4 linked regions of the Lepisosteus oculatus genome follow. The main gene of each other region encodes a partner of the protein of the gene in region 3 in a complex. Links are inferred from orthologs where the notes say so. Each region holds a gene or a part of one and is shown on either strand. Other genes may lie near its edges. The genes, in order: gas8, fbxl13, ccdc135 and drc1.

Evidence for each region.
Region 1: ccdc135 (region 3) and gas8 share a complex: the UniProt entries of both Homo sapiens proteins name them as parts of the nexin-dynein regulatory complex. The link is inferred for Lepisosteus oculatus from reciprocal best matches to the Homo sapiens genes DRC7 and DRC4.
Region 2: ccdc135 (region 3) and fbxl13 share a complex: the UniProt entries of both Homo sapiens proteins name them as parts of the nexin-dynein regulatory complex. The link is inferred for Lepisosteus oculatus from reciprocal best matches to the Homo sapiens genes DRC7 and FBXL13.
Region 4: ccdc135 (region 3) and drc1 share a complex: the UniProt entries of both Homo sapiens proteins name them as parts of the nexin-dynein regulatory complex. The link is inferred for Lepisosteus oculatus from reciprocal best matches to the Homo sapiens genes DRC7 and DRC1.

What each region holds. Positions count from the first base shown.
Region 1 is NC_090715.1:16,578,408-16,586,237, forward strand, and holds the start of gas8 (dynein regulatory complex subunit 4), read left to right. Parts: upstream 1-4,616; 5' UTR 4,617-4,732; coding exon 4,733-4,735; intron 4,736-5,135; coding exon 5,136-5,234; intron 5,235-5,577; exon of another isoform or gene 5,578-5,623; coding exon 5,624-5,821; intron 5,822-6,861; coding exon 6,862-7,068; intron 7,069-7,211; coding exon 7,212-7,266; intron 7,267-7,830. Other genes in the region: dbndd1 (dysbindin domain-containing protein 1), read right to left, coding at 1,311-1,341. UniProt on the Homo sapiens protein: Component of the nexin-dynein regulatory complex (N-DRC), a key regulator of ciliary/flagellar motility which maintains the alignment and integrity of the distal axoneme and regulates microtubule sliding in motile axonemes.
Region 2 is NC_090702.1:33,828,698-33,836,276, reverse strand, and holds the start of fbxl13 (F-box and leucine-rich repeat protein 13), read right to left. Parts: upstream 3,189-7,579; 5' UTR 3,121-3,188; coding exon 3,046-3,120; intron 2,149-3,045; coding exon 2,057-2,148; intron 1-2,056. Other genes in the region: armc10 (armadillo repeat-containing protein 10), read left to right, coding at 3,636-3,909, 5,343-5,488, 6,672-6,806, 7,203-7,379. UniProt on the Homo sapiens protein: Substrate-recognition component of the SCF (SKP1-CUL1-F-box protein)-type E3 ubiquitin ligase complex.
Region 3 is NC_090715.1:11,489,398-11,497,497, forward strand, and holds the start of ccdc135 (dynein regulatory complex subunit 7), read left to right. Parts: upstream 1-4,869; 5' UTR 4,870-4,927; exon of another isoform or gene 4,928-4,945; intron 4,946-5,752; 5' UTR 5,753-5,763; coding exon 5,764-5,909; intron 5,910-6,491; coding exon 6,492-6,666; intron 6,667-7,183; coding exon 7,184-7,309; intron 7,310-7,502; coding exon 7,503-7,697; intron 7,698-8,100. Other genes in the region: lcat (phosphatidylcholine-sterol acyltransferase), read right to left, coding at 277-433, 1,353-1,509. UniProt on the Homo sapiens protein: Component of the nexin-dynein regulatory complex (N-DRC) a key regulator of ciliary/flagellar motility which maintains the alignment and integrity of the distal axoneme and regulates microtubule sliding in motile axonemes.
Region 4 is NC_090697.1:51,221,087-51,228,197, reverse strand, and holds the start of drc1 (dynein regulatory complex protein 1), read left to right. Parts: upstream 1-4,053; 5' UTR 4,054-4,190; coding exon 4,191-4,318; intron 4,319-4,883; coding exon 4,884-4,968; intron 4,969-5,420; coding exon 5,421-5,533; intron 5,534-6,089; coding exon 6,090-6,273; intron 6,274-6,679; coding exon 6,680-6,817; intron 6,818-7,077; coding exon 7,078-7,111. UniProt on the Homo sapiens protein: Component of the nexin-dynein regulatory complex (N-DRC) a key regulator of ciliary/flagellar motility which maintains the alignment and integrity of the distal axoneme and regulates microtubule sliding in motile axonemes.

The sequences.
Region 1 (7,830 bases), about 5.1 Mb from region 3:
GGGACAGCTCAGACTCGGGATCTAAATAAACGCTTCTCATTTCTAAATACCCGAAACATTAAGCTCGGTAACAAATCCTAACAACAAGGCCACCGTACTGATAACGATATTGATATTTGTAACCGTTTGATAGGACGATAAAGCTCTCTTAAGTATCTTGAATACTGCTATATACATAAATAATGGTGCGAGTATAAAGTAATTTGTTTTCCATCCATTTTACATACTGTACTTTACTACTGAATGTATAAGTCTGTTTATGCTGCAGCTCATGGTTTCCTTTCTTCCCTGACAGAATCTGTCACAATATTAAGAGAAGATCTTTTGGGACTAGGAGTTGTAAGCAGCATGGCAATTGTATTATAATTCTCTAACATTCACAAAATTCTTTGAAGGGGCACTATTAAGTAATTCGTATTAATGTGGAAATCCTTGAGACCTTTTTTCTACTGTACTCTTGTGATCTCTACAGTTAACCTATAAAGATAAAGATCTAATGATGGGACTGTTTCCTAGTTTGGAAACGATTGCACATTGTGTCCCTGAGCTGACAACTGAATGTAGCAAACGCTTTGTTTTGGGCGTTTTTGTTTTCTTCTCCGCTGGTCATTTTCATGGTGATCCTGACTTTTGACTCTTCCAGTATTCATATTATTCAAAACGCTCGGGGTCTGCAGCAAGACCTGTGCTTGGAGGGGGTGGGGAGGGGAGGGTGGTTTCTCCCTGGTTCCTCAAGTCTTTGTGTTGACCTGCCTGTCAGAGGAAACAATTTTGTGTGTCAGGCCAGTACTAAGCTTTGTGGTCCCGTCTGTCTGAGCACATGGGACCTCTGCACCATGACACTGGGCTCCTGGTGAGTCGCCCATTTAAATGAGCTGATCCTGAGATCCCGGACCAGCTTACTGGCTCTGCAGTTTTTACAGTGACAGAGATGAATATTCCAGCCAAAACAAAATCAGCACAGAGGAGTCCTAGGCAAAGTAAGACATGTCTTATCTTTCTCTGGCTCTGCAAGACTGTCTTTAGGAGGTAGGCTGTTCTACACAGTGTAATTTTATCTTGTGTTTTTCAGTGTAGTGATGTAGCTTTCAAAGCACGCTAAGACCTCTGCAGAAACACACAAGTGAGCTGCAACATTTACCATTAAAACAGACGGTTTATGCTCTTTTCTTCACAATTGTACACGTGAAGTCCCCGAGAGCCCTACAAGCAGAGCCAGACAGCAGCAGCAAGTTTCTTGTACTGAAAGGAAATGTTTCGGATCGCTCTAAGATCTACCGGTCTGTGAAACTGAAACGCGGTGCACCCACCTGGGGTACCTGCCCCTCCTTGTGCGTCCATCCAGGCAGGTGGTGTGTCCGGGGCTGTCTAAGGCAGCAGCATGAGACAGGAAGAGAGAAAGGGAAGGAGACAGCAAGGCAGAGCGAGGCGCTGGCTGCACTCTCCACGGCATCAGACACCAGCAACACCCTCACCGATCCTCACAGCCGGAGTATCCCCGCAAAATCACCACCCTGGGCATTGCACCAGCACAAACATGTTGCCATGCAAGCAAAGATCACTTTGCAAATTGCAGAGCCACGCTACACTGTAAGCATTGCATTGTAAATGAGCTCGGGAAGGGAGACTGCAGAAAAAAAGCAGAGTGAGAGAGAGAGAGCAGAATGCAAGACACACTGGCGATCATCCAGATCTGGATGGGGGGGGTGGTGGGAGGGGTGTGGAGTGCGAGCTCAGGGTTTTGTGTGTGTAGCACTGAGCCACACCTAAATCAAAGAGGAAATCATCCATCCACTTCCTGTTAGCGTGGAGTAAAGCTATTCATGTAGGGCTGGAAGACACCATCCAATTTGCACAAAACCTAACGCCCGATTCTTCCCATCAAGGTTTAAACCTTAAGTGCTTGCTGTTGAAATGAAAGTTTGATTTTTTCAGATGTTCCCATTTGAAGGTAGCCTGAGGGAAATTCCCCATTATGCATTCAGCTCTTCTGACATGGTTTTTCTCTGCTATAAAATTTTCATAAGAGTTAAACACATGCATGAGATTAGGGCTCTCTGAGTACCCTTTGTTTTTTGAGTGATTCTTCAATAGACAAGTAGTGTTCATTCTTTATTCTTAAAGGCATTCTGTGGAGTTAATATCTTAAATATTGTACACACTGGAAAACAGCAAAAAACTAGCATTGGAACAGAACTGGAATAACACATTCAGAATAATTTTAAATAATTGAAAAGCTTCAGAAATGAAGTCACTGCAACTCAGTCCAATTAAATGCTAGAAAACTTATTCTTTGCTCAACAATACACATACAGCTCATCACGAAGGTGCAGATGTTTGCTAGTAGTATGAACAACTGGTGATACAGTGATATGATGTGGTGTTCTTTTAAAGGGTTAGGGTTAGGGTTAGGGTGTGTATTTTGTGTTCTTTTAAAGAGGTGAAAATGTGCCTGGGTGGGTGTCACTTGTAGGCAATGAAGAAATGAAGGGCATAGAGCAGTGACACCCTGTAAAGTAATCCCACAGGACTCCATTTTCTAACCACCGGCGCAAGGCGGGATATGCCTTGGACAAGAGATGCCAATCCATCACAGATCTCGCTGAATTATTGAATCTACCAGGAAGTGAAATGTACAGTATTTGACTGGATAGTGGACTGGGATTGGACATATCACAGCATGCGATTGCATCACATCCTAAAAATAATTTGTCACCCTCCAGATTGTAATCTCCTGCTCTATGAAAAGAAAAGGTTAGGGGTCCTGTACTGAATAGCTGGTACGATTTGGAGGAGATACTGTGCTCTCATTGTTAAGTGGAGACCTGAAAGAAACACAGCCACCACAGAACATGTACTGTATGTTTACATGGAGTGAAACAGCGTTTGTACTGCGAAAATCAGGGGGTTTGGCTTTGCAGTTTATGATGACCTTTTCTTCTTTCAATTTTTTTCCTACATTTTCTTAACAAAAATAATACCTTTAAAGGAAATACTATGAAAAGTTTCTAAAATTGAACACCTGTGTAAATTGTTTAATACGGGATGTTTTAGAAATATATTTCACATTTAACTGACATTTTGAGGCACACGTATGCTTGGAAAAGCAGAATTATAGTATTATTCTTATATAAATTAACTTCATTTTATGCAATAAATCTGTAAAGCTCACCATCTGGGGCCCACATAGTCATAAAGGTATAACGAATGTGCTCTTAATTCACTGGGAAAGTGAATAAAATACAAATGAAATCTGAAATGCATGCTGGCTATTTGTCACTCATATTATCATATTATTCGTAGAAAAAAATAATGCTAATACGGATTTTCTTTTAAATTCTATGTGAAAATAGGCTAAAGAGTCTGGACATATGTTAATTTTGGGAAATGTGAATGGAGGAGCTGGAAATATCTGACATTTCTCTTATCAAAATTAGATTTTCATTGGATTTCTGGGGCACTGTCAGGACAGCTACATCACTGAAATCACTGGGATTACATTTTATTATCTTGCTGTGGTTTTAGTTAATAACTCGATGTCTAAGGCAGCCCAATCTCCTCTTTTATCTGTTTACCCTTTAAATGAAAGCCAAGGTTGATGTTTATTTTCGTACAGGATTATGGATAAAGAAATATGTTTATGTATTTATCTTTAATAAATACATGAAATATTTTCACATTGGTTGACTGTAGTACACGTACTGTAGATATCTAAAAGTTTTTCATCTTCATTTGAACGTACTTGTCTTTTGAAGCCATCTTTATTTACAAGCTGTCGTTAACATTGTCTTTCCTACTATTGTCCTAATTTTCTCAGCCTGCTGATTATAGAAGTACTTGTGTATGCACCATTTCTTTCACAGATTAATGCCTTTGATGGGTAGCCAGAGGAAAAATTAGGATTTAATCAAGACACATTTCCTTCCATCTTTCAGTTTAGGGCTGAGGGGAACAGAACCCTATCCCAGCAATCCGTCACAGTGCACACTAACACTCACACCATGGCCAATTAGCCTACAAGGGTGTCTTTGGACTGGGGGAAGAAACCAGGGCACCTGGAGGAAACGCATGCGAACACAGGGAGACGAGACAAGCTCCATGCATATATACCCCAGGAGCTGAACTCAGGGACCCAGCGCTGCAAGGTAGCACAGTCTAACCACTGTGTCACTGCACCATCCCATCAAGTAAAAATGGAAAAAGATTACTTCAGATACTTTTTATTTTTTCCATTCATAGGGACCTGCTGTTTTGTCAGGCCACACTTGGTACCTAAGCGGCAATATCAAATTAATGGAGACTTCTGTCTTCTCACTTCATCATCTATTACTGAAACAGACCTATTTGAACGAATCATGTCTTCTAAACGTGTCTTATCTGTTGTCTGCCGCAGACAACATTCCTCATTTTTGTGCCAGCATAAAAATGCTGAATTTATTTGTGTTGATTCGCATAACAAACCTTTAACGAGGTACAGTGGAGACGACTACAGTATTTGTCCTTCATTCACATGTACTGTATGCAAATCGATTTCATCTCCATATTTTGTTTATTGGCGTTGCCAGGAAACGCGCGTTTCCTGCTCCGTGTCCTTCTCGCGAGAGCACGGCCGTTGCCAGGAGACCGCTGTGTTGCTCTGTAGGCCGATGCTGCAAATCGCGACAGCAGCTCTGCTAGAACAGCAAAATATTTTCACCCCTGCCTTTTACTCAGAATCAATAGTTTCTTGAAAATGGTAAGTCTGCATGTATTTTACTTTTATTTTTACTTACGGTAGCTTTGGAAACATGATTTATGAGGATCACCTTGGGGTTGACGATCGTCGCTGTGAAAACTAAGCGTCCAAGTGAATTGATTTTATGCGTAATAATGCAGTCGAATAGTTTAAGATGCTTTTGTTAAACAACTCAGCTTTTGGACAGACGTGACGTCGTGCTACTGTGTGTGTATTGTGTGTTGTGTGTGTGTGCTGTGTGTATTTTGTGTTTTGCTCTGTGGGGTGTGTGTTGTGTGTTGTGTTGTGTGGTGTGTGTGTGGTGTTGTGGACGCTGCTGCTGTTGATCTTGAGTTCTGAGGACTCAGTAGTAAATCTGATAGGAGGTTTTAAAAGGCTGAGGCGCGTCTCTTATTCCCAGCCTCCCAAGAAGAAGAAAGGAGGGAAGAAGGGGTCGGCCAAGGGGAAGAGCCCCACTGTGGTGGACGGGATTTCCACGGAGGAAATGTCCAAGGAGCAGGTGAGCTGTGGCGATATACTCGTGCGCTGTCGCGACGTGTTGTATTATGTTTCAGAATGTTTAAAAGAAAGGCACATGTGACATTAAATTGCCAAATAAAACATCGTATAGAAAGTAATATAATAAATAATCATACTAAATAGTAATAAAGAAAAAAATAAACGACCATAAACACGTGTGTAAAGACAGACAGACAGTGTCAGGCAGACACAGACAGTGGTAAAAAGGTGAGTTTTGACTTTGCATTTGAGGAGAGTCCAAGATTTTGTCCCTGGCAGAGTCTGAGAAGCACGTTCCCTGTCACTGCTACACCTGTGCAAGCGTCCACTCGCTCTGTTTCCAGCCCCAAGGCTCGGCTCACCTCCAAGTCTGTGGCTACTTGTGTGCAGCTGGAGGAGCACATTGTCCGCCTGCGAGAGGAGCTGGACCGGGAGAGGGAGGAGCGCAACTACTTCCAGCTGGAGAGGGACAAGATCCACACCTTCTGGGACATCACCAAGCGCCAGCTGGAGGAGAAGAAGGCGGAGCTGAGGAACAAGGACCGGGAGATGGAGGACTCCGAGGAGCGGCACCAAGTAGAAATCAAGGTTAGGAGGGCTGTCTGCTCTGTTTGGCTTGCTAATATTTTTTTTCCCCTACCAATATTGAACAAACATGACTTAAGGTAAGAACATACTGTAAGAAAGGACAACTGAGAGGAGGTCTTTCAGCCCATCTGGTCTGTTTGGTAGTCAGTAGCTAATTGATCCCAGGGTCTCATCCAGCTGTTTCTTGAAAGAAGCCGGAGCATCGGCTTCAACAACATGGCCGGGCAGCTTGTTTCACACTCCCACCACTCTTTGGGTAAAGAAGGGGCTCCTGTTCTCATTTCTAAATGCACTTCCGTCCGTTTCCTCTGGTTCATGTATCGGTGCTCTATCTGAAGACGGTCGCTGGGTTAAGGGCATCAAACCTGTGCTGAGTTTGAACACCTGGGTCAGGTCTCCCCGAGAAGGGTTCTGGTCCTTCAGCCTGCGTGGGACGTTCCCTTGAGCCCTGAGCTCCCTCAACCAAGGAGTGCACTTCATAATGGGATGAAATAGAGCTGGTAAAGAGTGTTGAGGGCTTTTAGTGGTTACATGTCGTCCACTAAGGGCAGATTTGTCGTTTTATGAAGGTTTACAGAGTATCACTGGTATGATTGTTGGCCTCGGTTTTCTGTGAGGATCGTTATTTGTGCCCAGTTTCTGTCATAGTCCATAAAGGCCTAGAAGAGGGCTTCCAATCCAAAATCATTGCTGAAATTTTACATTGTGCATTAAATGATTTTCTTTTTTTATGAACATCTATGTCTCTAAGCAAAATGCTCAGAGTGTATTATAGCCCTGATGACTTCAAGATGCAATCATAATAACCTTACAATTTTCCTTAACATTGAAGAGAATGGTGGGTGCCTGTAAAAAAATAATAGGTTACCTGAATAATTAATAACAATAATTCAGTTAAAAAATACTTCATTCATCCCCAGGGGAGTAATTAATATAATTTCACTCTGATTACTTTTCATGTGGTTATTGTTTCAGAACTCGTTTGCATTGATAGTAGTCCTTTTTGTGCTGCTGCAGAATATTGTGGATTGTTTCGGCAGGTGTACAAACAGAAGGTGAAGCACCTGCTGTACGAACATCAGAACAGCACCTCCGAGCTGAAGGCGGAAGGGGTCATCTCTGCGAAGCTGATGCAGAAGGAGCAGAGCGAGAAGGAGGACGAGCTGCGGAAGGGTATGCGCACGCTCAAGGTGGATATAAAAGAGCAGGAACTCGCCAATGAGAATTTGGTCAAGAGCTTGAAACTGGTATGTGGACATTTTTTTAAATGTATTTAAAAATATATATCATATATATGTTTGTATATATATTTCATTTTAATTGTCCTCTGTGTTTAACTGGAAGATCGAGTCTTAATTTAAGCTTTTTTCTCCACTTACAACCTGAATAGAAACACGATGAAGAAATTTCCAAACTGAGGAATGATTTTGAAAGACAAGTGCGAGGTACAACTTCCTTTTCAATAATGCCATTTCCCTTCTACAAGTTAAGAGGCCAATAGATATGAGTAATAAACTGGGATTTGTGTTTGTCTATTTGTATTTTACTGTTTCGCTTGTAGTCTTGATATATAGCTCCACCTAGTGATGTAGATCTGTAACAGTCAGAATATTGCTGTGTGTTTTCATATTCGCTGTTGGACAGAGACTTACTGCCTTTGTGCTGAAACACGAGACAGAGACAGCTCTGAATTCATTGTCTCTGACTAATGTATTTCATTAGATGATAAATGAGAATGTCATTGTTTGCCATTCTCTGCATCTTGAATGAAAAACAAAATAAAATACTCTTTGCTGGAGTTTACAACCCTCGTCAGGAAAAGCAGAGTAAAAATGGATGGATGGTTAAAGAAATAGCTTATGTGCTCCGAATGTAGATGTTGCCTTCATTATTTTTTCCCTTGATACATAGTCTAAAATTCTTTAATATTCATTTAATATTCTGTGTATGGCAAACCGATAACTTGCTAGTTAGATGTCTGTGATGGGTACTTTCAAAATATGTGAATG
Region 2 (7,579 bases), on a different chromosome or scaffold from region 3:
TAGAAAAAAATATGTCTTAAAAAATGTTGTCACTGTTTCACTTTCGCAGCTGTACCACCTTGTTGATCCAGATGAATAGGAGGAAGGTCATCACAGCGTGCAGGTGGAGGGGAGGAACTCTCTCCTTCCTAAGGGCAGCAATGCTATGCAGCACAGTGCATGCAATAATGATGACGCATGCCCTGCCTGGAGAAACCCCTGGACAGAGTCATGTAAATGTTGCTGATGCAACACTATGCATCACAGATCATTTGATAACATAGGAAACAATGTGATGGTGGAAACTTACATGATGGAAAGTCTACAGTACGTAACACCCATTGTAGGCAGACATGTTTAAAACATCTTTTGATATAAAGTTATAAAGTTATAAAGTGATATAAAGTTTTTATAGTTTTGGCTTTTGAGTGATCAATGTTCATATTTTCACACTACAATTTTATTATCTGTAAGTTGATGCTGTGAATAGATTCTCTTTTAAAAAGAGCCTCATTTGACTATATGGGGGCTTTAATGAGGATGACTTTGCAGTCCAGAACACCTTTTTTATTATACATAAAAAAGAATATTACCAGATACTGTATATACTAGATCTGTATTTCAAGAAACCCCCGTTTGATGGTTTATATTGTCAAGAAATGCAAACAAATGCATACACCACTTTACTTATTACATGACATACTGTCACTATATTTGAATTAACCTGCCCTGGAGCCGGTTAAGAGTAGAGGATATGTTGCTATAGTTACTTAACCAGATACAATTCAGTCTTGTTTCATGAAACTAAAAATCCAGACTTTTGTTAAAAGGTTTACTAAATTCACCAAATTAAACCAAGTAATCTCACTTTGTGAAACAGTCCCCCACCACTGTAGAATGATCTTTCAGGGAGCAACTCAGTGTTTCATAGCAGTGTATGTCCTGTTCACAGTGGGAATTTATGTTACAGTCTTATATCAATAATGTGACCTGAGATGGAACCCATTAACAAAGATTAAACTTTAGAAATAAAAAAGGACTGACCACAGAACCCATTTTGAAGAGCCGGTTGATGAAAGCCAGCATGTTGAACAAGAGACCAAAAACAATATTTTATTTCCTGGGCACCTTTGACAGTGTAATTCAAATATTTTTGGGAGTCTTGCCAGTCCTAGAAGGTTCCACACAAAGACTAAATATAGACATCAGTATTTGTTATTTCAGAATACTACAGTCAATTTATTTCAAAATGCAGATTTAATTTATCTTACTGTAAATAAAGTTATTATATATTGTAAACCTGTCGCTGATGAAGCATACTCTCATGCCTCTAAAAGAGAACAGTACATGTGTTTGCTCCCTTTATAGACTGAGCAAAGCTATAAGGAATCTTTAGACACACAGCTGAAATATTATGCAACACTGCATTGTGGTGTATGGTAAAATTATACTGGGTATGGTGAATAGACTGCATGGCGAAATTATAACAGGGCCGGAGGAAAATCATCTCGTTTCTAACGTTCTTTCACTACGTGATATGTGTAAAGTGTTTATATGTCCTATAGGCTGTTTTACAATAATCTTAAGGGCACGTCTAACGCTACAGATGCTGCTTTAACAATTAAGGTGAGAACGGTGCCCTCTAGTGGAATTTCTATAACCTTCTTTATACGCAGTTTATCTTCTAATCTCAGGGATTGTTCAAATACAGCCATTGAGGATATTTTACCATCTCTACTCTTAAACACTTTATTTAACTAATTATTTGATGACATGGACACAGGTAAAACCTTTTTTGACCTTACCTATAGTTAATGGGATCAACAAAACTCTCAGAGCTTAATTAGACGTCAGTTGTGCGTTCTTTGGTTTAATCAAAACTCCCAAGAAATGTCCACTTGGAACTGGTATTGATCCCCGTCACAAACAGGCAGGGCTTTCACTGCGCATACATCGGCCTGATGGGGTAACGGCGCTCACATGTACAGTACAGTATGCCACTCTGTAAGGATTCTTCCAGATTTGTCCTAAACCATTCCATTGAATAAAATGTCCCATCTATTCCAAATTTACCTACCAGTTCCCATTTTCCTGAAACTCTTTGATTTTCTCTTCCAAGAACTGTAACGGGTTTGCAGGGCACACAACACATAACCCGGATAACAACGCCTGTCGATAAAAAATATATATATATATCACTTCCATTATCATGAAAATTTAGAGAAAACGCACCTTAGGACAAAGCAATACATAAACCTAATACAGGTTACAAATCAGAGTAGTGTTTCTACCCTTTTCGCTTGATTCACACCTAAAAATCGTCAAATATATATTCTATTCAATTCAGTTAACTTTTATATAGCGCCTTTCACAACAAGGTTTCCCCAAGGCGCTTAACAATGCAATATACAAATATAGAAAATATACAGTTTATCACGTTAAAATGGAAGCAATTCATCATGCCTGGTGAAATGTCATTACCGATTACATATATGCAATTGAATGCCACACCTTTCGTGTTTGCCAGACTACAGTACTTTGCAATTTTCCACGCCAGTATTTTATGTACTATGATAAAGCCAGAATAAGTGAAACCTGTGCAGTAAAGAGTGCCTGGTGTGTTCTCTGCCTTAGTGGAGATGTAACTGTCTATACATATTGACTTTATTCTTGGATACTCTCGGCAGTGGATCCTTGTTCGCACTTCACTGGTGTATTAATTAGATCAAGGGAACAGGAATTCCAGAAAAGTACTGGAGTAGGTAGATATATCCAATTGTTGCCATGAAGCTAGTAATAAGAAATTACAATTTTGTGATGCACACCAGATTAATTTAACTTTTTAAATACATTCTATATAATTATATATTAAACATGTTTAATGTATTATATTATACAAGTGTTGTCTCTCGAACGCTGAAAGCTTAATGATAAGTAAATTCCATTACGTTTTGCAAAGCTAAAGACCATGGAAGGTACCCCTTATGGATGTCAGTACAGCGTGTTATTCAGTAAAATAATTGTAATAAAAGTCTATACTGGAAAACACAGAAACGTCAACCCTACTTTATAGATCTCAGGAAGTGAGTGTTGCATGATGTATTTTCTCAAGACCGGATCTGCTTGTTGCAAATTATCCATTTCTCTCTTTCAAAACGTACGATACTACAAGTTTTTCGTATTTTCTAAACTCCCTCTTGAAAACTCAAGTCTGTTTACAGTCACTAAGTAACTAAATTGGCTCTGGCCACGCCGCTGGCCAAACGAAAATAATCCCCGTGTCTGGAACTCCTTGATGGGAGCCTTTAACACGCTGCTTATGAGCTTCAGTTAATGCACGTGGAATTACCATACAGTATATTGATACTCTTTCGTTTTAATTATTATATTTACGACATAGTCGATTACTAGGCTCTAAAAATACCAATTTGAATAATCCACTTCATACAGTATTTCAAGATGAACAATTCAGAATCCGAGAGATTCAGTTAGAAAAACCCCGTGAAAACGTTCGTTCACCCTTCTGTTTGATTAGAGTCATGTCGCAACTGAACTGTCAACATGCTGTTCGGAAATTGTTTGTTTTGCTGAAGCTTACCATATAAATAAGTATTTGATCAACTTTGTGCTCTTATGAGTCAGATCTCGAGTCCACGATGGCTGACGGTGCCAGTGTGGCTCCCAGCCCGTGTAAAATGAAGGTGTTGCTGGGGTTACTGGCCGGGGCTGGAGCCACTTACGGGATTTACAAACTAGTGACTGCAAGTAGGAATCGAGCTAATCAATCCCGAAATATCGATGTTGTAAATGAACATTGCTCAGGAAAAGATGAATCCACGAAAGCGGTTTTGCCTGGGAGTTTGCTGGAAAAAGTGTTCGAGTTTTCTTCGATTCGTGGGAGAGATGTTCGTACAGGCGATGGTTCATCGCGTAAGTCTGTCTCTTACTAAACAAGTCTACGTGCACCTGCTCTGTACTCTTTCGTGTCCTGTTGTTGTTATTTCCTCAAATGGATCACAAAGTAAAATAAACTCTCTGGCGCTAAAGATTGTTGCTGACACCATTTTACAGATGAAACAGGACAATTCTCTGGGCAGCTCACGTGGTTATGTGAATTATTGAATATATTACATACCGAAGTGTGAGCATGTTTATACTGGAACCGCACTGAAATAATGAATGTAGTATTACCGACTTAGTGGTACAGTCAGAGTGATTAATGCTGAGCTTGAAGTGATGCTCTCACATTGTGCAAAGTTCGTAGTGACATACGCTGAGCGGCCAGTTTATTAGGTACTGTACATATCCCTTCCCATGTACTTGAGGGCTTAATCAGAGACATCATCGTGCAGACGATGCTATTTAAAGCACGTAGTCAGGTACAGTATCTCCGGGTCGCGTGTGTGCGATTCAGAGGGAGAGTGGGCAAGACAAAAGACTTAAGTGACACTGAACACGGGAATTCAGTTTAATGTAATGCCTCCTAAGTCACTAGATTTCAGTCCAGTCAAGCACCTGTGGGATAATGGACAGAGTTATCCGAAGTAGAGATCCATCACCAGCTAATTTGCAGTTGCAACAACTATGTGACACATTTGGAGTCGACATGGGCCTGTATCCCTGTGCAGCACTTTTTGCACCTTGTTGAGTCCAAGCCCCAACAAGTCCGGGCAGTTTAAGGGGAGATGGAAGACCAACGTGCTATTGGGTAGATGTACCTAACAATGTGACCACACACTGTATGTGATTCTGAATCATGTGCAGTTTCTCAACAGTACAAAGATGCGGTTTAATATATAGAAAATGGAAAAACCAGAAAAACAAATAGCATAAGTGCACATGTTCAGAATTAAAACCTTCTGACCGGCTGTTTCTTTACTTAAACTACTTGTAGATACAATACAATAATGATAATACAAGTTTTTGGTAGTGTAGAAAGTGTAGTGTAAATGAGAAAGCTACATCAAGAGCAGATCATAAGGATGTCTGTCCTTAGTGGAAATCACAAAAATATTTTAAAAAAACAACCATATCCTCTCAAAAAAAAACAGATGTATTCTATTCACCTGTTAATTTTGAAGTTCCTTAAGCTCTTGTGTATAGCCAGTACTAGGTGCTGGATACTCCACACACTTTACTTTCTTTTGAATAAATGTGCATGAACAGACCACTGGATCTAAAATTAAATATTTGGACTTCTGACTCTTGATTACTGTAAAGTTTGTAAAGGATGAAACTCCAGTGCGGTGATGGTCTTTTTATCCTCCCTGGCATTAATAGAGGTATTTAGATCTGCCAAATATTTCCCAAGAATTTAAAGCGCATTTCTAACTTGCTGTTTTACCTGTGCTTTTAATTTGCAGGTGAAATACTCTCAAAAACTCCTGGAAAGCTGGACCCACAGCATCTAGAGATGCTTCTTTCCCTGCTGCAGAGTAATCCTGACACATCTGAAAGAATGCAAATACTTGTCACTCTGGGCAACAGTGCAGCCTTCTCTGTGAACCAGGTACCACACGTAAATTAATTCAGGCTATAGGCCTCCGGAATACTGAGTGATTCCTGAGGCCAGAGGATCAGGGATCATTTGTATTTTATGCTCAAGGGCATCTTACAATTAACTCACTATAAAGGCAGATAATTTCCATAGCCCAGCAACACTGGGTCACTGGGTCTGCTTATCCTGGTTTCCATGGTGTTAAGTGGACAAGAGAGCATGTGACTCTCCTGGACAGGTCACCAGTCCATTACAGGGATTCCCGCCCCACAGTACTGGTCCCCATTCATACAGCTGGGAGAACTGAAGCAACTGGGATAAAGTGCTTCCCTTAAGGTACAACACCAGCATCTGCAGTAGGGACACAATCCACCTGTTAAGAGCCCAGAGACTTATCCACCCAAGACACTAAATTGCTAAACACTATAGCTGCTTAATAACACATACCTGTAGATTATATATTTAATCACAAACTTACAATATATTGTCAGAAATATAGTGCCTGCAGGAAAGGTAAACTGCTGGTACTTAGCAGTGTGGTAATTACAATGCAGCTCCAGAAGGAGAAGTCTTTTAACGTCACAAAACAGCACAATACAAATAAGTGCATATCGTATACAGAGCAGATCTGGGCTGTCCAGTCTAGATCCTGCTGGACCTTTGTGTTTGCAGGTTTACATTCCAGCTCGGCTCTTATTGAGCTGAACCAGCTGGTTGCTGACCTAACTGGACAACTTTCACAGCTTCTCACCTTTCGGGTGCCGCTGCTTTGAAGAGACCTAGGAAACCTGCAGACACACCCACCCTCCGGGACCAGGAATAGACACCTCTCGGGTAGATAGTGTGTGGTTTAAAAAAAGCACAGCAGTGGAATAAATAAGGGAGTTGAATATCGCAAGTGCAAAACATTGAGTGTCTTCCAGGTCCAATGAATGTCTGGTTTCATGCTCATGCTGAACTCTTTCTCCTAGTCTTAATCCACAAGGAAGAAGGCAGACGATTTCACAGGGAACATTCTTCAGCAATCAGCACTACCAAGAGTTTTTTTAAGGAAAAATGTTGCGGTTTCATGTATTCAGAGGAGAATCTTTGTTCTCGTTCATCTTATATACAGTAATGGTTGTCAGAAGTGCTTTTGTGGTGAAGTAGTCATCCTGGAGAATGGATAAAGATTGTATGTTTTTTCCGACTGCAGGACTTTATTCGTGAAACGGGCGGCCTTAAAATCATAGGAAACCTCTTGTCAGATCCTGTGTTTGGCATCCGAGTCCAGGCCTTAAATGCTCTGAACAACTTGAGCATGAATGCCAAAAACCAGGAACAACTGAAGGTACGTCTACTATGATTCACAAAGCTGCCGCTGCTCAGGGAGTCTAATCTAGTCTGAGCGCCTCACTATTCCATCTTTCAGCTTTTCTGTCTTTTCTTTATAAAGATTTTATTTCATTATCATTATTATTTTATTTCTGAAGTCTTATTGATGCTGTAAGTCATAGTGGATAAATTAATGATAGTCATCTATTTCATAGAGCTTAAATGAAATCTTTCAATGATCAAGTATTAGAAAATTCTAATACACTGCTACAGAAGTGCTTGAACCTTTGTAATTTCACCTGATTTCATGTTTATACAAGCTGTGCATTAGATATGAATGGGTTGTATTGTCTATCGCTTTTTGTCTTAATGTATATTCTACCTGACAGTTACATTTGGATTTTCCCTATAGGAATATATTCCAAAGGTACTGGAAATGATTGAGATTTCTGCTGTGAATTCAGATATACAGCTGGCTGCATTAAGACTGTTGACTAACCTATCGGTCACAAACGACTACCACCACATGATGAGGAACTCGATTACTCTCTTTCTTTCGCTGTTGGTTGTAGGCAATGAAGGATTACAGGTATGCCTTTCCATTCTTTAGTGGTGAGGAAGAAATCAAAGGAGTAAGAAAAAAGTGTTTAAATAATACCGTATTCTTGGTGTGGTTATGACACCAGCACATAAATATGTCACACTCAACACCTGAAATCTGTTATGAGATGTATTTATTGAGCTACTTTTTTAGTAACATAAAGCTAAAGGTTGTTTATATGGTTTGTT
Region 3 (8,100 bases):
TGGTTTCACCCAGCTGTCTGATCACCAGTGAGGCGTGGTTCAAGAGAAGCCTCCGTGCTTGGATCAATTCTGATCAGAACTGAAGGTGCAATGAGTGGGAAGAGGGACAATGTCTCAGATTTCTGGTTCCTGGTTTTGGGCTCTCTTGAGTGAAGAGGCAGATGAGAGCAGTGGGTGTTTGTTGACAATGAGCCCTTTTCCCCTGACGAAAGGCAACACAAATGGTGAGGTTGGTGGCAACAAAGTGAGAGCTACGACACGACGGTGCTACTGTACCGGATGTTATCTATCCAGCAGTCGATGCCAATGGGCATAAACATGTTGAGATCGATCCAGATGGTGAAGAAGTTCTCCGTCTTCCTGTAGCACAGCCAGTGCACCAGGCTGGGCTTGTCAATCCTGGCTTCCAGCCGGTTTCCCAGGTTTCCTGGCACTGTGCAGTGGTAAGAGGTCACAGGTCAGAATGCTTTACATGCCTCCTTTCAATTTATTCCCCTATTTTTGGAGTGAGTTACTGTAAATGATTCATCGTGATTCTCGTTCCCAGTTTTTCCCTTGTGTCTAACTTTAAAAAAGAATGCAAGGACAGAGGGTGATCACAACTAAAGGAGGTTAACTCCCATCTTATTTGTTGGACTTAAAGTAGAACTGTGTGACTGAGTCTTATCCAGATGTATCCTAGGGAGCCAGTTAGGAGGGACAGGTGGTAAATCTCTGAGCAAAAAAGTATCTTCTACTTTCAGTCTAAATAGGTCCATCATCTACTCTGAACTTCCTTACACAGATTTGTCCAAAAGTGCAACAGTATAGTACAGCATGCTGTATGAGACACCCCTGGCAAGCTGTGCTCACAGCTTATCAGTGCAAATGAAACCTGAACAGTCAAGTGTTAAAAATGCAGGCCGAAACCGGGGTCATGTCCAACTGATAGTATCTCCACTCTGAGAAAAGCTTTGACTACAGGTCTGTATAATAATAGTATCTTCAGAGGCTATTTTAGAAGCTGTTGTATAGTGCAGGATATTTGTTGTGGTGAATGATAAATGAAGTAGAAACAACCAATTCTCAGTCTGAGTTCACTATTCATAGAACACCCACTGGAATCGCAAAGATGCATACGATATTCCCTACTTTTCACAAAACACATGTTCCCAAAACAAAAACCTATTTCTGAAACCTAACAGCAGGCCTTTGTGTCATTATTTAACGCTCCTGACTGCATTAACAAACCAGCTGAAAGAGCACGGCTTTCGGTAGGTTTGAATGCATACTTTCGAAAAATGCTCCTGGAATACAAAAAGGCCGCCACTCCTCCGGAGACCCGGAACCCGACTGCCCTCCCTGACACTCACCTAGGATGAGAGGCGGGGTGCTGTTCGTCTGGGACTCTCTGGGCTCGACGCTGGGAGGAAAGATGACATTGAAGAGCCAGAATCCGGGCGAAGGCCGGGGGAAGACACCCAGAACCAGCAGCAGAAGCAGAGGCGACACAGAGGTGCGGCGGCCCATGATTCTCTCTCTCGCTGCTGCGCTGATGAGCCTCTGCAGCTGTCTTATCAGGGCCAATGGAGAAAAAGGCTGCGAGGGCAGAGTCTCTGGCAGAAGCTCTCCCACGCTGGAAGCCCAGTGTACGCACTCAGCACCCTGTAGGCCAGTGGAATGCTCCAGTCAGATCTCACCACCACCTGAATACTGATGAGACTCCGGCTTTAGACATCGTTGACAAATCACAAGCTTTTTATCTGAGCTCTGGCTAGAGTAAACAATTTCTATGCAATGTTTTACACCGAGGGGCAAGCCTAGCCTTTCAGAGGAGGACAGTGGGCCAAAAAGGAATCACTCTGTGCTAGAAATCTTCTGCCTGGGATGGGCAAGTCCAGACTTTAAGGGTTACAGATGCTTCTCGCAATAATTTGACCTCATCTCTCAATTACTCCTCTCAGCTTTTTTATTTGGTTAAAAAATAAAAAAGTATTTTATTTATTTCAAATAAAACAGGTATTTTATTAGGTATTTTTGGTATTAAATACTTATTTTATACAAGCTGTTATTTTGCTCCATTCTGACATTATTCAATTAACTCTGAATGTTGTTTTAATGCAGTCACTCAGAACAATGCTATCTTGTCTCAAGTTGAAGAAATGCGCTCCAGGTTTACTGGTGAATTACTGGAATATTGAATTGAATATATATGTAACTGCTAATTGTGTGGCCCGGTGGACTTGAATGTGGTAAAGAGCTTGTTGAGTCATTACAATGTGAGTTCAACCTCTTGATCAGAGTGGCCTCCGCTACAGTGTTATAGTCCCTTTCAATCCTGGGGGAGCCAGGGATCCCATTGCCACCATGAGTGGCAGGTTAGGAGGAGCAACAGTGCACTTACCCCAGCAAGACTCAGTTTGAAGGAAGAAGCAGTGTGTGTATTTGGACCCTGTACTTGAACTGTCATCACTTGAGCCTCAATTGCACAGTCCAGACCAGACAAGTGACATAACTCTTACAGTAAGAGACCTATTACACACGGCACCACTGAAGTCCAGCGTCCTGTACGAGAGCCGGGTATCTATGGCTGCACCGCAGGACCAATTGTGTCAACATTGCAGTTCTATTATTGTCTGCAAATTGATGCAATAAGGTGCAAATCCTGAGCCTATGATGAAAATGTTGTTGACTGAAGTGCCAGACAGTGTGAGGACTGTGTCAGAGTTTAGTCATTTGCCTTGAAATCAAATCAAGACTGGCTGATATGTCATCAGCGGCCTTGTTTTGTTACCATTGTTTGTGAAAGGATAGGATATCAAATCCAATCCTCTGCATCTGCTTAAAGATCCCAGCCACTGTTCCTCTGTCGGGTAAGTTACTCAGGCATGAGCAAGCATTGTTTGCAACCAGATACGCTTCTGGAATAGAAAGCTACTGTCTGTTTTGATTTAGCTTGCACTTACAAGTTGTGTCCTATACTGAATCAGAGAAGTTCTTCTACAGGGGAAGTTCCCTAAGAATATGTTTCTTTTCTGTCTGATGGATTGGTGAACAGAAACATTATCTAATTCACCTATGAACTATTGATCCCCTAACCAGCTAAACAGTTGATGTGTACTATATGAACATTGTGAAACATTAACAGCAGTCACACAGAGATTGCAAGTGCAGACCTGTTTTGTAATACAGATGGAAAAAGGTAGAAAGTTCAAATTTCCCCAAAATACAGGCAGCTGCATACTTTCAAACTGTTATCCATTTCAATTCATTGGATTATTCCCTATCTGTAGAAGACAACTTTTTATTTTCATGCAGAACAATAGGTTACTTTAGTAAATATTTGGAAATCTGATGTCTTCGTACCAAATATTTCACTATCTTTATTTGCTGGCAGACACTCGGCACCCAGGGTAATTTGCAATGTAGTTATCCAATGATTACATAGTGTGGAACATTGCAGACTCTGGTAACATTGGTCAAACAACCTTTGCACATAGAACTCTCCAACACTGATGGGACATGAGTGGTCTATGTGGTGATCCTGACTTTGAGAGTTTTAACAAAGTTACAACCGCTAACTGCTTTATCGAGTCCAGGGTGGTGGGGGAGACGGAGCCAATCCCAGCAAGCAACTGGCCCACAGCGTGATACACCCTGGATGAGAGAGACCAGTCCATCACAGAAAAGCACTCCTGTTTAAACCCCACTTCTAGTGAACCATGAATCCCATGTGAGATTGTCTGCGTTCCAGGACAATGATCAAAACTATCAGTTCATATACTGTAGGTGAGACCAGTCCTTTGAAGCAATTCTGGCGACCTCTAGTTGTATGACTGTGTCACTACAGACTTTTCAATGGACAACCTTCGTAAGTGAACTACTCCAGGAGAGTATTTCCCCATTGATTTTATAAGTATGCACATGTGTAGTTGTCCAATCCTCCCGCCTGTTCCTGGGCTCAGTTTTCCTCTGAAGGCGTAAATGTGATACAAAGTGGGTGACTGTTTAATATTCAAGAGAAATCCATCCATCCATTTTCTAACCACTTCAGCCCATACAGGGTCAGAAGGGAGCCGGAGACTATCTCAGCAAACAACAGGCATGAGGCAGGATACACCCTGGACAGGACACCAGTCTATCGCAGGGCACACACGGATACAACCACGCACACAAACACTCTCACCAGGGCCAAATCTTCCCTGAAACCAATTCACCTACCAGCATGTCTTTGGACTGAAGGGGGAAATCAGAGCACCTGGAATTGACCCACACAATCGTAGGGGAGCACAGACTCCACACAGAGAGCACCCCGGGTCCAGAATGGAACCCAGGGCCACAGCAATACGATCCACTGCGCCGACGTGACAACCGAGGGAGCTACATTTGAAACGTATATGGTCTGGTCTGGTCTAGTCTAGTCTGGTTTTTATTTCTGGTGAGAATCTGGTTTCCGGAATCCGCACTCAACAGATCAATGTTTTTAGCATTTAGATTGTTTTCATGAGTTCCCCCCCAAGCAATTGCTGTTTCCAAAAGGTGGGGGTTAATTAATTAATAGAAGATTTCTAGAACTTGAGATCATCAAGTCTTAGAATACTTTCTGCTTTTTAAGGGTCGGGGCTCGGTCAGGTATTTAAGAGCGTAGCCTGTACATGAAGATACAGAAGATAAAAGGAAGATGTGGCCTTATTTTTTTTGTTGTTATTTGGTAATTGTTTTTCACGTGCAAAATCGAAAATGAAACCGTAGGAGTCCTTTAAGATCTATATCTTCAAGTAGCACTAGTCAGATGTAGAAAATGTCCGCGCTTTTCAATAGTTCAAACCAGGAGAAACCCGCAGCTCGTCTCCTCACGCTGCTTACGCAAGGGGCGGGGCCACGGAACAGCGTGATCCAGCGCTGCCGTGGCCATGGAGACGGTCGTAAACGGGACGGTCGTTCAGAGGTACTGTGATGGGGAATGGTGCGATTAATCTTTTATTTCAATATCTACATGTTTAAAAATGAAACAAGGGGTAAAAAACAATCAGTGACAGTAGAATGTACCTGTTGATTATGCGGCTGAGTAAATAAACAATGTGATTTATGAAAACAGGGGTTAGAAGTTTCAGAAACTGTTTATAAACTATAGTTAAACTATCGTATACTAAACCGTAAATAAATTATGAAACCGGATAAACTATTTAGTTTTGTATACTGAACGGAAAATGGTCGAGCTTCCTTAAATATTTAGCAGCTGCAGTAAGGATATATTTACACTGTTCTGTGGCACGACGTAAACTTGTAATTGTTAAATGTATTTAACATAAAATGTCAAGGTGTACTGTGTTACACTGTTTTCTCTTGGTAATTACAGTAGATAATTTAATTCTGTGCCTTCTGTTTCAATAAGCACAAGGCACACAATAAGCACAAGGAATCCTCCTTAACAGGAGGAATCTGATGCCTCCTACTGTATATATTTATAGATATATTTAGGGTAATTCAAATAAAGAATGGATAGAACAATTATATGATTATATGATTATAAAGAATAGTAAAACAAAAATATGATGTAATTGATATTGATAGACATTTTGTTGCCAGCAACTACTGCTATAATATAATAATAATAATAATAATAATAATAATAATAATAATAATAACTGCACGCTGTATTATTGTGCATTTGATAAATAAACTCTGATTGATTGATAGTTCTGTCCCTTTGAAGACAGGGTGAGAGGTGATCCTGTGGAGTTCAGGTTGTCCTCCTCTTTCTCATTTTCAGTCCTGTAAGAAATGGAGACGCTGCCAGAGGAGCAGTTGTCTGAGGCTGGAGAGTGGAAGGGGGAGGAGGAGGCAGGGGATGAAGATCTGAATACAGAGCTGCAGGATCTGGAGGAGACACTGTCCAAAATACACATCACTACCCCTGCCAGCCCGCAGTGAGTACAAACCTCATGTCAACATTACTGTACTTACTTTATTGTCCCAAATGGGAAATTTGCTTTGCAAGCAGGTAACTGACATAACACAGTACGCAATACATTTAACACAACATGGACCCATTCACAAATAAGACATACATGTACCATAAGAAAATAAATATGTATCTAAAAGTAAAATGTACAGTTAATTATCCAAATTGAGCAGGTTAACAGCTGTGGGAGTAAAACAATGACATTGTTCTATTGCTTTTGAATCTGGGTAATCTGGGTCTTGAATCAATGATTGTATCATTGTCATTGCTTGATGTAGAAGTCTGGAAGCTGTAGTTCTAGTTGCCCACAATGAGTAGATATGTCCTTTAGCCCACAGTAAGTACAGCTTTTCATGATGTTTAGTTTTTTCTAGTGGATGCTAGACAGAAGTCTTCTTGAACTTCAAAGATTTCTTCCTGAACTTCAGTGGGCTCCTATGTCTTGTGTTTCACACTGATTGAGCCTTTGACATTCAATATATGGGTGTGCAGTGTGTGCACACAATAATGACTATAATAATAATGACTGACTTGTCCATCTTTTCAGACCAGTGACTAAGTCGTCCATAGATCTCTCTGAATTCCCCTCCTCGTACAAGGAGAACTCCTCCCAGGAGAAGCTGCTGCTGGCCATTGCTGATAATTTCCGCTCTCAATATGCTCACCTGTATCCTGACCGCAAACCTCTGTTCCTGAATCCCCTCAATGAGTGTGGGGTTGAGGTACGTGTGCTAGGCAGGACTTTTGGGTCAGGAAATGGATGAGGTAGAGGAGGTGACTCTTGTACAGAACTTGCAATTGCATGAAAACTGTATTGCTCTTCTACATCTCGTATGGCACAGATATTGATTATGTCCTGCCAGGAGCCTAATTTTGCTCAGTAGCTGCTTAGCCTCAACCAAATCTTCTCACTGTCAGGGTGCAGAACAGCCACAGGTTTGGTGCATCTTTGGGATGGTCAGTAAAAAAACCTGAATGCTACTAAATTACATTAAAACTACAGAACTGTTTGATAGCCTGAGTACAACAGTGAGCAGCAGTTCCCCTCATTGCCACTGGTGCTGAGCACTTGTATAAGCTTTGGATTGTAAGGTTGTCTTCTTGTACTGGGCACTGAGCTTCTTTATTTGTGTAGGATATCAAGGTTGCCTTTTTAAAGAAATGGTGAGTCTTACAAGAGGTTACAAATGAGTGAAGTCTATTCTCTTACTCACTTTTTGTCTCTTGTTCCCTGCACAGAAGTTTGTGAGCACCACGCTGCGCCCAACACTGCTGTCCTACCCTGAACTGTACAGCTGGGGTGGCTGTGCGTGTTTTGTATCTGAGTATCTCTCTGTCGAGCCTCTGGATCCCCCTGTAGATCTGGTAAGTCAAGGCAACAGCACCGAAAAATACAACTAGAATCCGTAGTGGGAGAAAATAGGTCATCTGACCACTATAGCATGGCTGGCTATGTTAATTGTTTTTTATAAATTGTGCCTGTGACGGACTGCATTTGGAATTTGAATGTTTAATCTCGGGTATGACTGCCTACTCTACCAATCTTAATCCTCCTCAGCCCCAGTGCCTTCGTTCTCCTACCTGGGTGCTGAAGTGCCAGCGTGGGACCTGCTTCGAGTTCGCAAACCTGCTATGCTCCCTGCTGCTTGGGGCGGGCTATGATGCATACTGCGTCAGCGGCTACGCAGCGAAGGAGCTCTGTCTGCTGGACCAGACACACCAGCAGTGCCCCCTGCTGGTGAACCAGGAGAAGGTGAGCATTTAGGCAATGGAAAAAAACAGACTTCCCTGCACCTGCTGTGTGTTGGAACTGACTCCTTTTTACAATAATGCAGGCAAATGGGGGTGAGATCATGGATCTATTTAAAAGACTGAAGTCTGCTCTTTGAGAGTAACAAAGAATCAAAGGAAAAGTCTTAGGGAACCTAAGTGGCACCTAAGGTTTCTTAATGCAGAAAAGGCAGTTGCATAATGTAACCTTTTGTCTAAACAATTTTACACAATATGCATCTAACTGTCTTTGAGTAATATAAATGATGTATATTAAAAGCTATTCATTATTTCAATTGTCAGTTTAAGAATAATGTGTTTTTTAATTCAGTAAAATGCATTTTATATTGCGATTACTGGTCAATAACGCTTACTATATTGCAATA
Region 4 (7,111 bases), on a different chromosome or scaffold from region 3:
GTCTTAATATTTGTAATTACTGCGACTATTTTAAGGACATAACATTTAAAGCTTAATAAAGATAAATAATAATAAAAAAATTCTGTATTGTGTAACATTGCATTTTGTTTGAACATTACCAGTTCTATATTTGTCAGTGCTTCAGGTTTCTTATGTAATTACTCAATAAAATACATAATTGAAAGGGTGGGAAACTTCTATATGTCATGAGGTAAGAGTTCTTGTTAAAACTGAGACAGTTGAGACTGAGTTATGAAAGCATATGTCTTTGGACACTTATTGCATTAAAAACTGAGAAAAGGGGGCACGTGTTTAACAGAGCAGTTGTAGGAATATGTCACGTGATTGAAGCTGTTACCAAAGAGTGTTTTTCAAGAAATGGCTGGATGAGATCCTTGGACCAATTAAAGCCCAACTACACAACATTCTAGATGGGTGAACGTTTGTAGCCTTTTTCATGTTCTTATGTTTACAAATTTTGTGTAGTCTTTAAAGAGCATAATCTGAGATGATTATGAGGCGAATGTTGGCAGCTCAAAGTCATTATAAGGAAAGGAGAAAAAATTAAAATATTAGAAAAAATACAATTTTCCGGCACATTGAAGGATGTTAAAAATGTATTCCTAGTTTAAATACATATATATTGTGGACATCTGCAGCAATGTTTGTCAAAATTAGAAGTCTTGCTTCTTTTTATGTGTGACTTTACTCTGTTGTATTGATCGCCATCTGCTGGACACTGATGATATGCATTTCACAGTAGCTACTGCTACTAACATTCTTTCTGTACAGACCTGTATCCTATTTATCAAGGCTGCCTCCCTGGACCCTGTAGGTAAATAGATACCCGTGTTGAGTGTGGTCTTCATTTAGCAGTGGCTTGATGATGATGTATGTGAAACGTACATATATTCTCTACAAACACATCAAAAAAACGTATCACTCTGCATGCTTGAGGAGTAATGAAGTCTACATGTTTAGGGTATTGTTTTAACATTTGGTGAAAAGCTATCCCTTTCTTAACCTCTTTCTCCAATACACGTGAAGGAGCTGGAGCCTATCCTGGCAAGCAAGCAACAGGCGCAAGGTGCAATACACCCTGGATGGGAAGCCAGTCCAGCAGTGTACACACAGACACAAACACACTCACACCAGGGCTAATTTGAACTTGAACTTGAACTTTATTGCCATATGTAACCGGTACTGGTACAATGGAATTCTTACTTACAGAAAGTCTCTCGTTTGTAAAACAAGTGTAAAAAACAAAACAAAGTGCAAACAGTGCATCAAGACAATGTACAAACAAACAATAGACAATGTGCAAGTAAACATGCAGACAGTTTGAATGTAAACAATACAGACGTGTAAACAATGACTGGAGACGTACAATAAATAAATTACAATGAGGTAGATGGTGATGGTGTAGGTGTGGTCCGAGGGGGATGGCTAAATGTGTTCGCCAGTCTCACTGCTTGTGGATAGAAGCTATTGAAGAATCTAGTGGTAAGTGACCATATGCTCTTATATCTCTTGCCTGAGGGCAGTGGGGTGAAGAGCTCATGCCCGGGGTGGTGACTGTCCTCTGTGATGGCCAGAATTCTACCACGGCAGCGGTCCTCATAGAGCTGTTTAATCTCGGTGAGACCGCAGCCGATGATCTTCTGGGCCATATTGACAGTTCTCTGCAGTGCCTTTTTTTCTCGCGAAGAGGTGTTGCCATACCACACGGTGATCCCGTTGGTGAGGATGCTCTCGATAGTGCAGCGGTAGAAGTTCACCAACACATGTATTGGCATCCCCCATCGCTTGAGGCACCTCAAGAAATAAAGGCGCTGCTGAGCCTTCTTCATGATAGAGTCAGTGTTCACAGACTCTATCATGAAGAGTCTGTGAATTTTCCTGGAAACCAATTAACCTCCCAGTATATTTTTCTCTTTGGGAGGAAATCAGAGCACCAGAAGGAAACCCACGCAACAGGACCTCAACCACATACCTGATGTTTTTTGCTAGGCTTTGGGTAGGTATTGAAGTGGGGGGTATCGGACCCAAGCTGGATGCCCCATTTTCTGACACATGCCCTGCACTTAATGGGAGAGTTAAAAGATTAAAAAATCCATCCAACTGGCCATGTTCAATGCAGAAAAAACTTGAAGATCTTGTCGCACCTCATAACAATCTGCTGACCCCTGTGAGCATTTTAACAGAAGCCCAAACAAGAAAGATGAGGAAACACACAACCTCTAGGATTCTGTGCAACGTTCACAGAGACTTAGTCTGGAGTTTCTTCACAAGTGCTTACGGGCATGAGCCTTCTTGTACCACAGGTGTCTCACTCCCAGCCCTCGATGTATTAGAATGGGCTGCAGTGAGGATGAGACTGTGACCCATCCCCTGTGGTCCTGCCATTTTGCTAAGACTTTTTGGGCTCAGTTTGAGGACTGGTTACAGGCCCCCTCGCTTCACTTTTCCCTGACCCCTGCCTTCATAATATGCACTATTATGTCAAACGCTACCCTCTGACATGTTTGACAGGATTTGGGCTATAGTGAACAGTGGAAAGGATGTCCTCTTGAAGGGTGAGGAACATGGGGGTGTTCAAAGGCATTGAGGTTCCAGTTAAGGGAGCAGGTAGCCTGGTCATTATTAAAGACAACTATTATCTCAGAGATCTATGGAGTGTAGGGAAGGAGGAAGCAGAAAATCTGTGGATCGTAGGATCATGTCTCATAACCCTGTGATACTGATAATCATGTAAGGAAAAATAGCATTTTTCATGGAAAAAACATCAGCAAATGTGTATGGAATTGATTCAAAGTGACGTGAGATAATGCACCTCAGCAATTATATTTCTGTTGGCTTTGTAATTTTCTCTAGATGTGTGCATATACAGTATACTGTTTTAGGTATATACTGCATAATACTGTACAGTTTTTCCTTTTGTGTTATTCTGTATTTGTGAAAAGAAAATAAAGTTCTTAAGAAACAGAAATGCAAACACAGAGAAATAGCAGATAGCACCCCAGGTCCAGAACCAGTCTCCCGTGCTGTGAGCCAGCAATGCTAACCACTGTGCCACCGTGCCGCACTCTGGTGAAAATCATGAAAGAAAAATACAAAAATTAACCCATAGTCTTACTTTCTCAAGATAACAGCACGATGTGTCATCATTGTTTTGGATGCACTATTGTAGTGTATTCACAACCAGTTCAAAGCCAGTCCGTCAATGATAAGCCCCAGTCTAGGAGACCGTGAGTAACCACACCTTGCTAAGATCATCATACATATCTTAAGGTCTGGGGCTAGAAGCTACTGATCTCCGCATCAGATTAAAGTCACTCTGTTATTAATGTCAAAACTCTGGGACATTGCTTGCTGCTCTTGCTGTTATGACTTATTCCGTAATAGCTAGGCGATACAAAATTTGTCATAATATTCCTGCAGGCTCATCCAGACGTGATTCACTTTCAGCCTGACAGTGCAGGCACTGACAGGTGCTCATGTAACAACAGCTTTCTTGGGAAATGAGAGAATGACAGTTAAACCATAGATGCCCTACCTGTCAAACCTGAGCCCAGCTAAATAATTTTGTGATTAGGATGGGACATCAGTGGCCTCGACAAATTCAATTTACTTGTTAACTCTGCATGCAGACCACTGACAGGTGAACAGACATGCTTGTCCAGGCTCTACAACTGGAAAGTTGGAAAGAATCTCACAAGTCAGCATGGTTAAAAGTATGTGGCAGGGATGTGCAGTGTGTCGTTTCTACACAAACAGCCCCTGACGTTTACAGTACAATAGACCCGTTGATCAAACTCAAATGTTAATCAGCATAATGACTTTACCTGTCATAGCAGCTGCTGCACGAAAGTTCTGATAATAAACTTAAGACGTTTTTACAACGATGTATATATATATATGAATTAGATTGTCAGTACGCTGTATATAAATACATAAAAATAAAGAAATAAAACAGGAAAAAAGTATTTGCTAAAGCAGCCCCACAGAGATTGCATTAAACTCTACTGAAGATGACGTAACAGCAGCAGTATCCTAGCAACAAAGAAAACAACAAAGCTTCCTTGATGTGTCGGTGATACATACTGTAGGATGACGCCTGGCAGATAGTAGCATTGATTAAAAGACATCAGTGGACATTTACTTACACGTTAGTTTGCACTTTTTGAAAAATGAATCAGGCCGAGAATGGAGGGGAAGAGCGAGAGGAAAGTGGACCATCGGTGCAGTCCGAAAACCCGGAGGAGCGAATAGCCGCTCGCCGCCTGCGGATAGCAGCTAGGATTGAGGCGAAGAAACGGTATCCAACAGCCAGAAACAACTCATGTGTTAATGCCTATATCTTGAACTCGCTATGTTTGTTTGTTAAAACTGAATCATGGAGACAATAATGAAATAGTAAAACGCATTCATACCTAAGCACCGCGTGTAGTTGTGACGATTTAGCGAAACATGTCTCGATTCAGTTCCCGAGTTAGACAAATGCTTAAATTAACTTTTGTTATGTCTCGCAGATAATAGACGACTAAACTAAGGCTTAGAAAGTTTTGTATGTTGTTTATGGCGGCACAGAAGCGTGACGCTGCTGGCTAAGAGCACTTGATTTGAGACAGGGGCACCTTCTGTGCGGAGCCTGCATGATCTCCCCAAGGCAATGTGAGAGTTCTCGGGTGACATGCTGGTTAGGGTAATTATCTGTCTGTCCAGGGTGTAGTCGCGCCTTGCATTCTGTGTTTAAGCGATTGGCTCTGAACTCTGGGTGCTCTAAATGGCTTTGAATGCTCTGGGTTTTGTAACCCTCGTAATGAACTCATACTGTTTTTCTTGCATGCTGAACTGTTTTACATTCATGTCAAAATACTCAGAGAAGCTCTAGGAGACAGCAGCCATGAAAAGAAAGATAAGGAAGAAATGAGAAAAAGCCAGAAGCAGGTGGAGCAGAGCTGTAAGGTTGGTGGTACTTATGGATGTCAAATAGTATCGTACATATTAAAAGTCTCTTACAGAATTTATTCCAACTGTAATATGATTTTTATTCCTCAAGACTTGATCAAAAATATGTTTATCAGCAGCACTAAGGTTGTCATCCCTAGTTTTTTTAAATAGATAATAGATCATTATCTAGTCTGAAAGACCCGATTTCCTCAATTTGATCCATGCCAAATTTTAGGCTTCACAAGATGTGTAAATACATGTTGTAATGAAATATAGTAGAGAATTGTGTTGAAAGCTGTTATTATTTGTATTATCGACAGTGCCTTATCTCATTTAGCTGATTCTGATACTCACACTTTGTTTTCGTGTCGTATGGTTTCTTTATACAAATAGATTTTCTACTACAGCTTTAGGCCATGTAGAGCACAGGTGTCTATGACTGAGCCATTGTATTTTATTTCTCACAGAGAATGATTAAACTGCAGGCTGATGGGACAGAGCTGGTCACCAATATTCAGGTAGCAGGAGACTGGAAAGAGTCTCAGAGGAGGACTGAAGAGGAGGAGGCAAGGAGGCAGAGGTACATGAGGAACATAGCTGAGTCCCTCCTTCACAAACACAGCCATTCAGCAGGAAATTACAATACCTTTAAAAGTCTCAGACAAATGGCTTTTTTTAATCTTTCTTTACATGACTCTTTACTCAAATAGCTTCATATTCTGAGAGACAAATCTTCAAATACAATATCTGGAAAATGTTAGGCTACATCTATTATTACAGTAGAAATACTATAAACTTTAGCGGATTCATGAGTTTGACAATACAGGATTCTCAAACAATTTGATGACTTTTGTTTGATTAGATTGTGTTGTAGAAAGACTGTTCAGTAAGCTTTAAAATATCTTTATAATGGTCCATGAATTATTCCTAGTCACTCATTTATTACCTGTAATCATTTATTTTTGTAAATGTAATTGACAAAATGTCAGAAGATTCTCCATTATGATGTGAAAGACCTTCAGAATTGCTATCTGAAGTATACACAAACTATTCCCTCTCAACAGTATACTAGATTATTCTGAAGTTATTTACTACTATGTCACATACTGTATCTAACCCATTCTGCCCTATGAAAGAACAGAGAAGCTGGAAAGTGAAGCCAAGACCAGTTTGGAGAAGTTTGAGGAAATCACAAAGAAGTGGACATCAGCCAGAATGAAGGAGATCCCTCAGGACTTGAGGGAAGCACTCAACATGCAGCAACAGCAATGCGCTCTTCTTATTGAGGAGAAGAACAAGCTCATTACTGACCTACAGCAGGTAAGGAAATCCTGGATGATGGGGATCCATCCTTTTTCTAACCACTTTATCCCACGCAGCGTCATGGGGGACATAAGGACATAATATTAAAAATGTTTTTATCTAAAGTTACAAACCACGTGAGACCCAGCAAAAATAATGAGTACATAATTATGACTATTCTTCCTAAAAATTCCATCTTTGAGTGTGAACCTTAAACTTTCTTGTAGTACTGTTTACTATTTTATGTGTATGGAAATCAACAAAAGGTTTTCTTTCATTTATTTAGATTTTGTTCTTAGAGGAGAGATTGTGGTTTCTTTACACTCAATTTCTAGCTGTTTCCCAGTTATGACACAGAGGTACTGTACAAATATGTTTATTTGAGACTTAACCTATTTCAAAACAAGCCATGCTCTGCCAACAGGAACTGAAAGCAAGTGATGATCGCTACGTTAAAGACTTGAAGAAACAAGCAGAAGACATCGACCTCATGATTGAGAGAATGGAAGAACAGATAAAGAATCTGATGAAATCCTACAGAGAAGAACTGGACCAGATTGAGGTACCGTAGATACATTTCTATTGACATTTCTACCTGACAGTAACAAATGATGCTTAAAAGGCATTGTGGATTTTTGGGAGAGGCAGAAGTTTTATTTACTACTTTCTATTTTGAACTGGACAACCTTGTTAGCTTTATCCCTTCACACATCTTTTAAGTATTTCATGAAATATGGACAGCATGGTAAATGCTTCAAGGATTTCAAGAATGAGTCATGAAAACCCCTATGCGTCTTTCACAAGTGCTGTGTATTTGTGCAGAAAGCCTTTGAACTAGAACGTCGGGAACTTCTAG